Rattus norvegicus: one gene and its partners. The protein of the gene in region 2 interacts with the protein of the main gene of each other region in a pairwise test. Links are inferred from orthologs where the notes say so. Each region holds a gene or a part of one and is shown on either strand. Other genes may lie near its edges.

What was found.
Region 1: the proteins of Ccdc33 (region 2) and Emd interact in binary tests that used the Homo sapiens proteins (3 or more experiments, as listed by UniProt). The two-hybrid records come from large-scale screens. The link is inferred for Rattus norvegicus from reciprocal best matches to the Homo sapiens genes CCDC33 and EMD.
Region 3: the proteins of Ccdc33 (region 2) and Prpf31 interact in binary tests that used the Homo sapiens proteins (3 or more experiments, as listed by UniProt). The two-hybrid records come from large-scale screens. The link is inferred for Rattus norvegicus from reciprocal best matches to the Homo sapiens genes CCDC33 and PRPF31.

The regions. Positions count from the first base shown.
Region 1 is NC_086039.1:157,188,498-157,193,536, reverse strand, and holds Emd (emerin), read right to left. Parts: upstream 3,100-5,039; 5' UTR 2,993-3,099; coding exon 2,911-2,992; intron 2,819-2,910; exon of another isoform or gene 2,739-2,818; coding exon 2,631-2,738; intron 2,495-2,630; coding exon 2,417-2,494; intron 2,197-2,416; coding exon 2,060-2,196; intron 928-2,059; coding exon 881-927; intron 799-880; coding exon 468-798; 3' UTR 88-467; downstream 1-87. UniProt on the Homo sapiens protein: Stabilizes and promotes the formation of a nuclear actin cortical network. Stimulates actin polymerization in vitro by binding and stabilizing the pointed end of growing filaments. Inhibits beta-catenin activity by preventing its accumulation in the nucleus.
Region 2 is NC_086026.1:67,406,247-67,410,762, forward strand, and holds part of Ccdc33 (coiled-coil domain-containing protein 33), read right to left. Parts: intron 1,230-4,516; coding exon 1,066-1,229; intron 1-1,065.
Region 3 is NC_086019.1:74,492,624-74,497,139, reverse strand, and holds part of Prpf31 (U4/U6 small nuclear ribonucleoprotein Prp31), read left to right. Parts: intron 1-265; coding exon 266-423; intron 424-757; coding exon 758-847; intron 848-2,965; coding exon 2,966-3,093; intron 3,094-3,179; coding exon 3,180-3,252; intron 3,253-3,767; coding exon 3,768-3,896; intron 3,897-3,981; coding exon 3,982-4,080; intron 4,081-4,516. UniProt on the Homo sapiens protein: Involved in pre-mRNA splicing as component of the spliceosome. Required for the assembly of the U4/U5/U6 tri-snRNP complex, one of the building blocks of the spliceosome.

The DNA of each region.
Region 1 (5,039 bases), on a different chromosome or scaffold from region 2:
AAGCACCTGTGTGCCATGGCAGCCCAGCTCCCATCCCAGTAGGAAGAAACAACAAGGTAAAAATAAACATGTTTATTATTGTGTCCACGAAAGCAAAGCCAGGATGGCCTTGTTAATACCCCCTGAAAAGGTGACAACAAACAGGCATGCATGACAACTACCACTGCCACCACCAAGTTTTCCTCTAATGAAGTGAGGTCCTCCCCACCAGATCCCCATACCCTAAGAGTCAGAGGCAATAAGGCTAGGAGGCTCCAGAGGAAGGTACATACGGGCCTACTGGGCTGTGGAAAGCCAGCATTTGCTGCTTCCTTGGCAAGATGAGGTGGAGACAAGCACTGCCGTAGGCTAGGCCCTGTACCCTCTAACTAGAATACACAAAAAAGCCCCTACCCCCCACCCCCAGCAAACACTGCTAAGGCAGTCAGCCAAAACTCCTGTTAAGAGCTGCTCTGAAACCAATACCCTTAGGGATCCATCCAGAAGGGGTTGCCTTCTTCAGCTTGTATGGAATAGTAAACAAAGAGCAGAAAGGCAGCAAAGGCCAGGAAGAGTAACAGCTGGCCCCAGAGTGGGACCTGTCGATCCTGGCCCAGAGCAGCAGTAGGGGCCTGCTTTTCTGGTCGAATGGCACGTCGGGTAAGCCATGAAGAGGGAGAAGATGAAGAGGAGGACACAGAAGAGGTGGAGGATGTAGGATAATATGATAAGCCCAGGGAGCTCCTGGAGACATTGGAAATGGGGCGGTAGTGTGCGATGCTCTGGTAGGCACTGTCTCGGCCATAGATGGGGCGTTCCCTGTAGCAAAAGAAGGGGACAGGTAGGCAGGAGAGTCTGAGTGTCAAACTTGTCCCTGTCCCTACATGTGTTCACTACTCACCTATCCTTGCCTTCCTCTTCTGAAGAAGAGAAAATGTCATCACGCACCTGCCGGATAATTAGGATTAGAAATGGGAAAGAATGGTTTCCCCAAATGTCTCTGGCTAGCCTACTCTAGTCACATTGTAGGGGGCAGAAAATTGCCCCCCCATCATTCTGGGTCCATGCCCTCTTTAACTGTGGGGCCTTGCCACCCAGTTACAAACCTTGTCAACTTTGTCCCACCATCCTTTTATTCCCCAGGATTCTCAGGAGGCTTAAACCTACATCCTAGAGTACAGGTGCTGTTATATATGCTCAGATCATAAAAGTTTGTGGGCTGCAGAGATGCCTCAGTGGTTAAAAGCACCTATTGTTCTTCCTAGGTACCTAAGGTCATTTTCCAGCACTCACATCAGGCAGTTTACAACTACTTGCCATTCTAGCTCTAAGGGGAATCTAAGGGGAAATCTGACAATTCTGGCATCTGTAGGCACCAGCACTCATGCATACTACCCACAGACACATACATGTAGTGAGAATTCTTGAAATTTGGCTTAAGAAACACAGAAATATTATAAGAATGTTTTTATTTTAACCCTAGATGTGGGATATGGGGCTGTTTTACAGCAGCTATGATTTGCTTCATGCTTTTGAGTTGCAGATAGTTTCTGCAATTTTGTGGTATTTGGAATTCTGGGAATTTTTCAGAGGGTATGTAAATACTAGAGCCCCAATAGGTGAGGTTGGTTACAGTTTGCTAGTAGCTGGGGTCAAAGAAGACACAAGGAAGAAAGAAATTAGATTCAGGGATCTTTAGCTCTCTTTCTCTATCTAATGATTGGGGGTGAAAGGGTGAGGGGAACCCACAAACTAACAAAAAATTGGCTACACATAGGTATAATTAAAGTAATTAAATTTTTAAAAATGCCAAAACCCCAAAAACATTTGTGTGTGCTGCTGGATGCTGGAGATGAAACCATAGGTAAATGCTCTTCTACTGAGCTATATATGCTCATCCCCAAATCTAATAGTTTTGGAGGTTCCAACGTAGAACTTTTGAGCCAACAACTGTATGCTGATCCTAACCATACTTGAAGGCCTAAGATCCACTCTCTGCACCTAGTATCTCCTTGAACTATCCAAACCTAGAATTCCCTAAGGCTACATACACCCCAGGTATGCCTACCAGACAACTCACCTGGTGATGGAAGGTATCATCAGCATCTACAAGTGAGGTCCCTGGCCGGCGGAAGCTCTTGGACATGCCCACAGACTCGGGCTCCCCGTATGTCCTGGTAGTCAAATAGCTCTCCTCATAGTAGTCATCATTATAGTCTTGAGGAAGAAAACAGTGGTAGAGGAAAAAGTGGTGCCCCTTACCTGGCCTCTTGCCACCTTCCGCCCCCCCCCCCCAGTCTGTGTGTGTGCTGTGCCAGTTTCTTCTCTCTGAAGCCACTGAGAACTGGTACAAGGGGGTGAGGTCTGGAGTTTCACTGTGCCCAAATCCCTGAAGCATGGGATAAAGACATCAGTGCCCATCCCACACCTGCCTTACCCTTGCTCTGGTAAAGTAAGGCGTCCTCCTTTTTGGGCAGATCATACATGTCTGAGTCCACGGAGGCTGAATCCAAGTCTGCATGTGGAGGAGAAGGTACAGGACCTTCAATCTCCAGACTTCCCCCTACTCCCTCAGTAGCTTCAGCCACACCCTCCCTCCCTGCGCCTTGTGCCCCAAGCTGCTCTTTGGGGCTGTGCAGTTGGAGCCTCACCTGAGAACCGATAGGAGAATGAAGACGATGACGAGCTGGGGGGCGAAAGCCTCCTTCTCTGGGTCTCGTACTCGAAGATTTTCTTTTCGTAGAGCTTGCGAGTGGAGCCTGCCCAGACACAGGGTGCGAAGCGGTCAGCGGGTGCGAGCCGAGCACCCCAAGAGCACAAGGGAACACGGGGAGGGGACCTGAGGGAAGGAGGAGGTAGGAAGAACGCTCAGGGAGGAGCGCGGGAAAGCGGGGGACCGAGAGGTTCTGAGCGCCACCGGCTGCAGCATACCCACAATAGGCCCATGCGGGATGTTGTACTGGCGTAGCACTGCGGCCAGCTCAGTATCGGACAAAACCGCATAGTCGTCCATGGCAGACACGGCCGGCACCTGGAAGCGGTGTTGAACGCCAGGGGCGGCCGGCACCTATACACAGGGCCCAAGAAACAGACAGCTCGGAGCCTAGCAGAGGAAGCGCCAGCGCCTCAAGAGCGGCTGTGGGCGCGTCAAGCCGCCGTCACGTTTGCGTCACAGCCGCTGCTACGCAGGTTGCGCGCTCTCCTCAGGGCAGGCCCAAATCCGCCGGAGCGGCCAGTACAGACCAGTCTAGCAGGCTGGACTGGCAAATACAAACGTCACACTTGTGTGAGATTGACTCGAACAGGAAGAGGGAGGGGCTTGCGGGAGAGATTTTGGGGCAGCGGAGACTTCCTTTGAGAGCTAGGCAGCTGAGGGGCGGGGCTAGCTAGGCTATCTGAGGGTGCTAAAGCTCAACGTACTAGAGGGGCGACAAGTGTTCTCAGCGGACCAAAACTGGCTTGTGATTTCCCAAGCTGTGAAATCTTACACACCTTTGTGGCTTCATCCTGATTTCCAGTGCCTAGGATTCTCAGCCACAGTCTGGTCCACAGCAATGTGAAGAGTCCAATCCTGAGAGCAAACCTTTCCACAGCGCCTGACGCTGTTGCGAGCTCTTTGTGTGCACAAGTGCTGTCATACAGGACTCTCATCACCTACATAACCACCCACAGACCCCTGGCACTCGCTACCCATCTCCGCTGGTCTTCACAGGCTCCATGGCCCTGGCCTGCACACCTGTACAGGCCCATTCCCACCGTCCTCTCTGCCGCCTAGTTCCATCCGGGAGGAAATGGGGCTAGCACTGGGACAAGAGGCCGCCAACACTGTAGGACCAAGCAGCTTTCCAAAGGTCCAGGGCATGCCAATGGGCACAATCAGAAGGTGCCTGCTATGTGATGCATGTAGATGGGTACACCTTGTACCTGCCTAACTCACTGTTCCATCCACCTTGGGCCCTGAGGAGTTTTGAGGGGAGAAGTCTTCTTTGGCAGAGTCTCTAAGCTTGGTGTGACCTTAGAGGCCTAGACAGTGTGCAAAGCCTAGAGCAGTATCTCTCAACCTTCTTAATGCTGCCGACCCTTTAATACAGTTCCTCATATTGTGATGACCCCACCACCACCATAAAATTATTGTGTTGTACTTCATAAGTGTAATTTTGCTATTATAAATTATAAATATCTAATATGAAGGATATCTAATATGTGAGACCCAAAGGAATAGTATCCCAGAGGTTCCAAACTGCTGGCCTAAAGGTAAACCATGGGAATTGACGGAGGCTCACTAAGGATCTGGATCAGAGAAAGGTTGCCTTGAAGAGTGAGCATGACCATTATATTCTACGAAAAGTCATGTGGCTCTAGGTGTAAGCTGCCCTTTACTGGAGACATCTAGAAGAGGGGGTACATGCAGAAAAGGTGTGTGGGATGCCTGATCTCTTAAATCAGTGATTCTCAACCTTCCTAATGCTGTGACCCTTGTTGTGACCACAACGGTTACTCATGTTGTAGTGACTCCCAATCATAAAATTATTTTTGTTGCCACTTTATAATGATAATTTTTGCTATTCTTATGAGTCATAATGTAAATATTTTTGGAGATAGAGGTTTATTAGAGGGGTTACAACCCATGGGTTTTCTAAATGATAGTGATAGTGAATACTCTGGTCAGCTCTAGGCTGGCCTTGATGACACTTTAGTGAAGGTCACTGGCCAGTCCTCTATAGAAGTTTAAAGTAGGCAATGGTGAGGAGGTGGAGCCCAGTTTTGACCACATACAAAGTGCTTAATGAAGAAAAGTTGCTGTTGGATGGGTTTAAAAGACAGTGCCCTCTCTATCCCTGTAAATGGAGCTGTAAGAATCTCTGGAAAAGATACTGTGTTAAGGAAAGACAGGAGAAAGTTCTTGGGCAGGAGTGTGTGTGTGTGTCTGTGTGTGTGTGTGTGACAGAAAGACAGAGAGAGAGAGACAGACAGACAGACATAGACACACAGAGAAGCACAGAGAGACAGACATTCTCCCCATTAAGCAGCTGCTTCATGAATTTTTTTTATTTTTTATT
Region 2 (4,516 bases):
TCCTTCCCTGGTTCAGAAACAGAGCTGGGGGAGGGGAGGGCAAGAAGCTAGACTGGGCTGGTGAGGTTTTCCTAGGGAAAGCAGGCAAGACCTTCACCTGTTGTTCTCCAGCAGAGCCTCCAGGACCCCTTTCCCTGTGGGAGTGGAGATCTGAGTGGGCTGATTGTCATCTTAGCCTGGCTTTTGTTCCCTTGGCCCATTTGTCTGTGTGTATGTGGGGTGCATTGTTGGCGACATGGAGAATGAGAACAGAGGGAGGGCTGGCTGGCTACTATGTTGCCTTATATGCTCTTTGAGGAGAACTGAGGATCACGAGATAGGCAGAAGACATGGTATGACAGGCCCTCTCCACCGGGGTAAATGAGCATGCGCAAAGAGCAGCAGAGTTTACGTGTGTTGTGGTAAAGGACTAAAAGCCCCATGACAGAAATGATTAGGAAGAGGCAAGGACCCACAGGAGGGTAGCTTCGAGCAGCGAGGCCTCTTAGGGTCCCAAAAGCCAGGAAGGCAGACCTCAAGTCTTTCTGCAACAGGAGAGTGAGGACTCGAGAAAGCTGCACGTAGATTAAAGTAGGCAGAAGGCCAGTTTGCAGAGAAAGACCAGAAGTCCTTCCCTACCCAGGCTCACGTTTCAGAGCATTCCAGGGGGAAAGCCAGGGGTGGTCTATACTCAGTGGGATGGAAATGACCAGTAGAAGGGTAATTAGCACCTCCGAGTTTTTCTGTTTGCTTTTCTAGCCTTCACCAATTCTTCTGAGTGCTGTTTCTCTTTCTAACTATCTGTCCCTAGTTGCTCCCCCACCCTCTGGGGACAGACTTCAAATGCCCAGGCTGGTAACATTCCCCTAGACCATCCCCATCCCACACTGAACACAGCCTAGGCACTACAGACAAGGGCTTGCCCCTGTGAGGTCAGGCGGAGCTCAGTCCTGGCATGGGTTACCACACAGCCAGGGACAAGACAGGTCTCTCATTTGCACAGGAGCTCACTTTCCAAATATTCATCAGATGGTTTCTGTTTGCAGACCCAGACCCAGTCCTACCTCAGTTTTCCCAGCTACTTACACCACCACGTAGGGCCACGGTTCAGAGCTATCCTTGCAGGTAGGAAGGTTGGTAGCTCCATACAGAGTGACCATGACAGTCTCCTTATTACAGGGAGCCAGGTAGTTGGTGTCAGGATATGGGTCCAGAGAGGTATCCAGGCGGTCCTGTGGTTCTTCAGGAACCTGTGGGGAAAGCCAGGGCTAAGTGGACTCTTTTGATGGAGTATTTCTCTTTACTGTTACTGGTAACTTCTACCAGGTGGGTCAAAACTTTCCATGGTATAATTTACAAAACAAAACAGAAATCATGAAGAAATTTCATAAAAACTGGTGTGGTGGTGCACACCAGCCCTCAAGAGGCAGGAGCATTGGAAGGACCAGAAGTTCAGGGTCATCTTTGGCTCCTCCGGTTTGAGGCCAGCCTGGGCTACACGAGACCTTGTTACAAAACTACAGACGTGTCAGTGAGTTAGCTCAACCTTTGCTGTGTGAGCCTGATGGCGAGAATTGGATTGTGGGAACCCATGGTGGGAAGTTAATACTTCTAAAAATGTTTTCTCTGGTCTCCACACGCACGCCGTGGCACGCACGCTCTTGCACTCACCCACACGTATACAATAATAGTAAATAAAATAAAAATGATATGATTGGAAAATACAAGGTTTACATTTCAGATAAGCCTATGACTTTGTGTTTAGCTGTGTTCACAGACAGTCTTGCCTGCAGGAGTCTGGATGTGGCCCAGGGCTAGTGGCTGGATAGGCCCGACTGACCAGTACCTTTTCCTCTCTGTAACATTACCTGCTCCCCCAACTACAGAACAGTAGCCTAGGAAGCCATTTTCTCTCTACTTCTGTACTTCTCTCTACCTCTTGCTTCTTCCTTAGCCTTTGGTGTGCCCCCGTGTGCAGCAGAAGTCAGCCCACCTTAGTTTGTAAGCAATCTGTCTGTCCTCCGGTTTCTGCTCCTGCTTTTACCTCTGTAACTCCTCCGTGCCACATGCTCCTCAGGTCCTAGTGACCTCTACCTTTCTTCTTTCCTATATCTTTACCTTAGACCACCTCTGTCATCTCACATATGGGGACTGGGACCTGACATGATGCACCACTCTGCCCCGCCCTCCTGACTCCTAGCATGGGAAGAGAAGGCAGCATGGCTTAGCCCAGGTACATCTAGGAATGCTACTTCATTCAGATTCTCAGGACCATTGTACTGCATGGTGAGCGCAGCAGAAGCCAGGCTCCCTTAATCGTCCTAGCAGCCCTTCCCCACCTCAGCCTTTGTCTGGTATTTTCATCACCTGGGCAGAAATTTCCAAAAGATTTCAAACTCCACATCCCCTGACCCATCCCTCACGTGCTGCAGACTGTGGTCCCTGCCTAACAAGTTGTCTCATTAGGAGGTGAGAACAGGGCTTCCCAGCCCTAGATGTGCCAGCTCTGTAGAGACTTCTCCCCTTCCTATGACTGAGGATTAAACCTGCTCCCTCCCCCAACAGGACCCAGCAGGGCCTGTCACCATCTGCAGAGGTGTTGATGAGAGTTAACTCCCCCCCCCACACACACACATGGCAAGGGTAGGGGGAAGGGAGGGGGGAGCCCTGCTAGTGGAGGAGGGGAGCATTCACAGACCAATGCCTCTCCTAGATCAGAGGACTTCTTCTAGTGTACTAGCCCACATAACCAGAGGTCGCCTAGCAGGTTTGTTTTCCTGTTCTGGTACAGGAGTGACAGCAGCTGACAAGCCAGGAGGCTCCTCTGTCCCTTCTGAGATGCGCCGGCACAGAGCCGTTTCCCTGCACTCCGGTGGGAGCATCTAGAATGATTTCTGATTCAGCTTTTCCAGGACTTGGTGTGACTAAAGTTCTCTGAAGTTAGACTAGGAGAGGTAACTGATGTCCCTTGTACTGCCAGATGGACACCCTTGCCACTGCGAGGGCGCAAGCCTACCGTGGCACTCTAGGGGGGGCGGGGGTTACAGAAGCGAAGGTCCCTTAGCATGATCGTTGTCTATGGGCTTCCCTGCCTCCTTGGCAGCTCTGGAGGCCACCAGGCCTCTGCCAGGTCCTCCGATTGGATCTCTTCCTTCCCCGTCTCCTCCCTTTCAGGACAGATTTCCAGGAAACATAGCTTGGAGAGAGTTGGGTAGGGACACTTGTGCTTCACTTGTGTGCTTGAGGCCAGCTGTTAGTCAGGTACCTCTTGAAGCCTGTAGGCATGTACCCCATGGATGTACTGGGTGGGGGTCCAAGGTGTGGGTTGTAGAGGGGACAGGCAGTGAGCCAGGGCACCTTTGCCTCTGTCCTTGCTCGTGGGTCCCTGCATCAGGACCAATGTGTTCTGCTGCCTCTGCCCCTGGTCACATGGAAGAATTTGTGAAGGAATAGGATATGTATCTACCGATGCCGACACCTATACCTACGTATACTAGGTTACAAGGTGAGGAGAGGAGCTGGGGCTGGACAGATGGCTCAGTGGTTAAGAGCACTGACTGCTCTTCCAGAAGTCCTGAGTTCAATTCCCAGCAACCACATGGTGGCTCACAACCATCTGTAATGGGATCTGATGCCCTCTTCTGGTGTGCATGAAAGCGGCAGCTACAGTGTACTCACATACATACAATAAATAAATCTTAACACAACAACAACAACAACAGCAACAACAACAGCAACAACAACAACAACAACAACAAAACAGAAAACAAGGTGAGGAGAAAACTGAGTGAAGGTGCTGACCCTGGGCAGAGAAGCTTCAGAATCTTCTTCCATGAAAGCAGAGCTCTATGCTCACCACAGCTCTCAGGCCCTGCTCTTGCTCACCCATGCAATGACTGTAGACAGCAGGCTAGTGGTAAGCTCAAAGCCTGCCCATTTCCAAGCAGAGTTCCTTTGGCCACCCCTTAGGATTTGGGCTCTAGGCAGGCTTGAAAACTGCTGATCTCAGCGCATCATGGTGTCCTTGGGAATCCCAGAATGTTCTTTGCTTGGGTCAGCATTGGATGTGTGAGGGAGCATGAGAGCAGGAAGGGAGGAGCAGCAGACAAGCCAAGGCTCACAGAGGTGGGGGTGGAGAGGGAGGTACAGGGAGTGGGCTTCTGGCAGAGACCAGGATGAAACCAGACTCTTCTCCCATTCTATTCCCTCTTCCCAGAAACCCGGGAAGCAACAGGAAGCTATGAAGCCCAGATCTCTCCTCTAGAAGGGTCCACATCTGAAAACATACCAGCTAGAGGAGGCCACATTGAGTCTTCCAGAGGGATGTTGGGCTGAGAGGGTCTGGTGACTCCGATGTGCCATTTGGGCAAATTTTTAGACTCCGGTGGATGCTGGGCTTAAAAACTGCTCTCTCAGGCCAGTGTGATGGCTCACCAGGTAAAAGTTCTTGCCGCACAGGCCTGCTAACTTGTGATGGATCCTATAAACTACATAGAAAGCCAGGGGAGGGAACATGCATCTCTAACCTTAGCACTCT
Region 3 (4,516 bases), on a different chromosome or scaffold from region 2:
CAGGCATAGTGCTGGAGATATAGATGAACCACAAGCAGAGAGAGAGAGACATTGGACCTGGCGTGGACTTTTGAAACCTCAAAGCCCACCCCCAGTGACACACTTGTTTCAACAAGGCCATGCCTTCTGAACCTTCTAATCTATCAATGAGTTTTACTTTGTGGTGACTGTATGAGCCTATGAGGGACATTCTTACTTAATCCACAAAGGTATACATGAGTTCCTGGATGTAAACCCTGTGTTCTGACCTCACCTCTTTTTGCAGGTGTGGCTGGAGGGCTGACCAACCTGTCTAAGATGCCTGCCTGCAACATCATGCTGTTGGGAGCCCAGCGCAAGACACTGTCTGGCTTCTCTTCTACCTCAGTGCTGCCTCACACTGGCTACATCTACCACAGTGACATTGTGCAGTCTCTGCCCCCAGTGAGTACTTCACCTTGACCCCTAGCCCCAGCCACTAGGCCTTATCTGGCTTGGCTGGCAATAGCCCTCAGGCTCCTGGAGGATGAGGCAACATGGTTGGAAGAGCAAGGATACTATTCTGGGTCTGCCACTTGGCAATGAGGATGGTTGGGTGGCTGGAAACCAGGGGCAGCTAGAGCATACCCCTCAAGAGGCAGTTATTAGGAAAGCGCACAGGCATAAGGCCTACCTCCCAGAGTCTGGGGTATGGCTGGCCCTAGATGAGAAGTGATTATTGTAGTGGCTGTTACCTTTGCTAGAGGTTCAGTTTCCTTTCCCCTTCCCATTGCTCTAGGATCTTCGGCGGAAGGCAGCCCGCCTAGTGGCTGCCAAATGTACACTGGCAGCTCGTGTGGACAGTTTCCATGAGAGCACAGAGGGGAAGGTGAGGAGAAGATCTTTTCCTTGTGCTTGGGGTCTTTTCATAGGAAGATGCTACTTCAGAGAGCTGTCCAGACTAGCAGACGGCAGTGTGTGTCTCAACCCCAACTAAGGTCATCACATTCTCAGCTCTGTCTATCAGTTATAGAACAGCTATGACAACTCACTGTAGATGGAGTAACTACATATAAAAGTTTGGTAGACCTGCTAGCTCATATCTTTAACATCAGTACTTGGGAGGCAGAGGCAGAAAGGTCACTAGTTTTCGGCAGTCTGGGTTATATAATAAATTTCAGGCTAGACTGGGCTGCATAGTAAGATCTTGTCTTTGAAAAAGGAAAAAGCACAGAGCCAGAGATGTGACTCCATAACTTAAGTTCCTGCATGCAAGCGTTGAAGACTTGTTCAATTCCTAGTACTCCTGTTAAAAAACAAACAGGCCCAATAGTACATACCACTAACTAACCCCATTGTTGGGAAGATGGAAGAGGGAGGACATTTGGAGCTTGTAGGCCTCTCAACCAAATCAGTAAGCTCCAGATTCAGTGAAGAGACCCTGTCTCAAGAAATAAGGTAAGGAGGTAGTGTAGAAGCCATGTGATACCAAATCTTTGGTGTTTTGTGGGTGCACGCATGTGCACGTACACAGTTTCACTGGACTAACATTAGGTGTTAGACGGGCAGTTCCCATTTGTAGGCTCCTGGGAAGAAACACTCCTGCCCCTGTCTGTATCAGAGTTTACTAGGCAAGGCAGCACCTTCAGCCCCTGACTGCTCGTTTTGGGCCCTTTGTTGAGCTCATACTGTCAATACAAGGTACTGTCACATCTCAGTCCTTAATCACATCTGCAAAGATCCTCTGCCATGTGAACTGTAGCCACGAATTCTAGAGACCAGGATACCTGACACCAAGGTGGAGCCCTGTGTTTGAGGGAACAGTGTTTTGCCCACTACAGTAGGACCTGTCCTGTGCTAGCAGGGGCATGATTCCAGTGATACCTTCTGTTTTTCTGGGTAGGCTTAAGAAATAGTGTTGTGTGCATTTCCCTACTAGAAATTACATTATAGCCCAAGTCAGGGGTTTAGTCTCTTTTGCCTTTTACCACTTTCTAAACAAGGCAGCATACAGCAGGGGATTACATAGGTGTCAGAGGTCTGCCTCCATGGCTCTTGTATATGTCTGTGGTGGGCATACTGGGATTGAACCTAGGACTCTACACGTACTATACAACTGATCTACCACTGAGCTGCATCCTCAGCTCACCCTCACCCTCACCCTTTTCAAGACAGGTCTCATCTCTAGTCCAGGAAAGCTTTGAAGGATTTTTGATCCTCCTGCCCCAGCTTCCCTGGTAGCTAGGAATGGAGGTCAGTGGTTACACAGCATTTATGTTCTAGTTGGGACCAAAACAAGGCAGTAGTCCTGAAAAGAACCTGTAGTGGGTTCAGTAGTGCTGTGTGAATACCAGGGACAATAAGGGGAATTGTGGGGTGAGGAAGCTTAGATTTTGACTGACTTAGGATGTGAAGAAGAGCTTTGAGGAAATTTTAGTATGGGCCTGTGTGAAGTTACAGTCAGTTCTGTGGATACTTGTGCTATCTACTTGGAAGAGTGTTCCAGACAGCGGGAATAGTGAGTGCAAAGAACCTGAGGCCAGAGTTTGGTGAAACCCAGCAGGGAGAGGAACTTGCTGTACCCAGGAGCAGATATGTACAACCTCTGGAGGCCTCTGGCTGCTGTGGAGGTACTGGAAAGCAAGCTAGCTGGGACCTGCTCTAAGAGGCCAGGGGATCAGTAGTGTGGTAGTAAGACAGTGGAGATGACATTCTGTCTGTTGACTAGGGATATGGGGATTCTGCCTGGCCCATTTATGTTTGAAGAACTCAGGCAGAGGAAATTTTCCAGAGGGTGCAGAGCTTAGATGTGAAGGCTAAGCTACAAGTTCAAGAGCAGTAGACACTGGAACCCACAGGATACCATTCCTGGAGAAAGGGAGAACATGTCTTTGGGAGGGTACACCATCAGGTGGTCAGATATACAGTAAATGGGTTGATGATACGTAGATGTGCAGCTGAGGGGACAGTCTACATTGCTGGCCACAGCTTCTCAACTCCCTGCTAGGTGGGCTATGAACTAAAGGACGAGATTGAGCGCAAGTTTGACAAGTGGCAGGAGCCACCACCTGTGAAGCAGGTGAAGCCCCTGCCTGCACCCCTTGATGGGCAGCGGAAGAAGCGAGGGGGCCGAAGGTAAGGAGTTTGATGTTTGGAGTTGGGAAAGGGAAACTTCTTCCCAGCCAACTGCCTATATCCTGTTGATACCCACCTTACCCTAGGTACCGCAAGATGAAAGAACGGCTAGGACTGACTGAGATCCGGAAGCAGGCCAACCGCATGAGCTTTGGAGAGGTCAGGTTCCATCCATAGCACCAATAGGACCTTGTAGGATCTTCTCTTTGCACATCCTGCTGCTATCCCTCCTCTCTACCCTGTAATCCAACAGCAGATCTAGGGCTACCCTAGCCTCCTCCATCCTGACTGGCCTCTCCTCTCAAACCACCTCCATGGTGATCTTTGCAGCTTCCCAGGCTGCATCTATATCTATCATCTAGGTGGTCCTGAAAGAATAAATGTAGGTGCTACCTTAGTAGTGCAGCTCATCCCAATTCTTGGCAACCTAATCTGAATGTAGAGAAAAAAATGACTACTCTACTCAGGTCAGGAACTAGTTCTTCCCAGGGTTCCTAGCTATACCCAAGCAGAGTTAGGGTAGGCTCTTAAAAGATTATTTAGTGCAGCCTGGCTAATGAGGTGATGCCCATGAGACTGGCTGATTGGAGAATCTGTGGGTTCTCAGTGGACTGCCCCAGGGTACGGCTGAATATACCTAGCTTCTTAACAGCAGGTTACTCCTATCTCACCAGATTGAGGAGGATGCCTATCAAGAAGACCTGGGCTTTAGCCTGGGCCACTTGGGCAAGTCAGGCAGTGGGCGTGTGCGGCAGACACAGGTGAATGAGGCCACCAAGGCTAGGATCTCCAAGACACTACAGGTATGATCTGGGCCCATGAGAATGGGAGGCAAATGGGACATGGAGGTCAGTAAGCTTGAATCACAGCCTCTTCTTTCCCTTACAGCGGACCTTACAGAAACAGAGTGTGGTGTATGGTGGGAAGTCAACAATTCGTGACCGCTCCTCGGGGACTGCCTCTAGTGTGGCCTTCACTCCACTCCAGGTACCGTACCCTTTTCTACCAGGCATGTGATAAGGCTGCTGTGGAGGCCTGTTGAGCTAGCACATGAGCTTAGGCATCCATAGCCGCACAGTAAGTGCCCAACAGTTGACCGTGACAGTTGTGACAAGCTCAGACCAACTTTGGAACCAGGCCTAGGACTCTGCCTGTGTGATCCAGATACTCTCTGAGCTTCCCAGTCTTTGCTTTAAGATAGCCCTGTAGTCAAGGTCATCAGGGTGGGCTTGAGTATCATACTAGTAGCACTGAGCAGTGTGAAGCAGAATGGCCTCAGGTTACTTACCAGAGAGATAGGCAAGTGTGTCCCATAATGTCACAAGGAACTAAAGAGCTCCCAGCTTGCCAGAACTGCCTACTGAGCAGCTGCCTACAAAGAGACAAGCTTTGCTTTGTGGGGAGAGGGGTGTTGTGGGTTGGA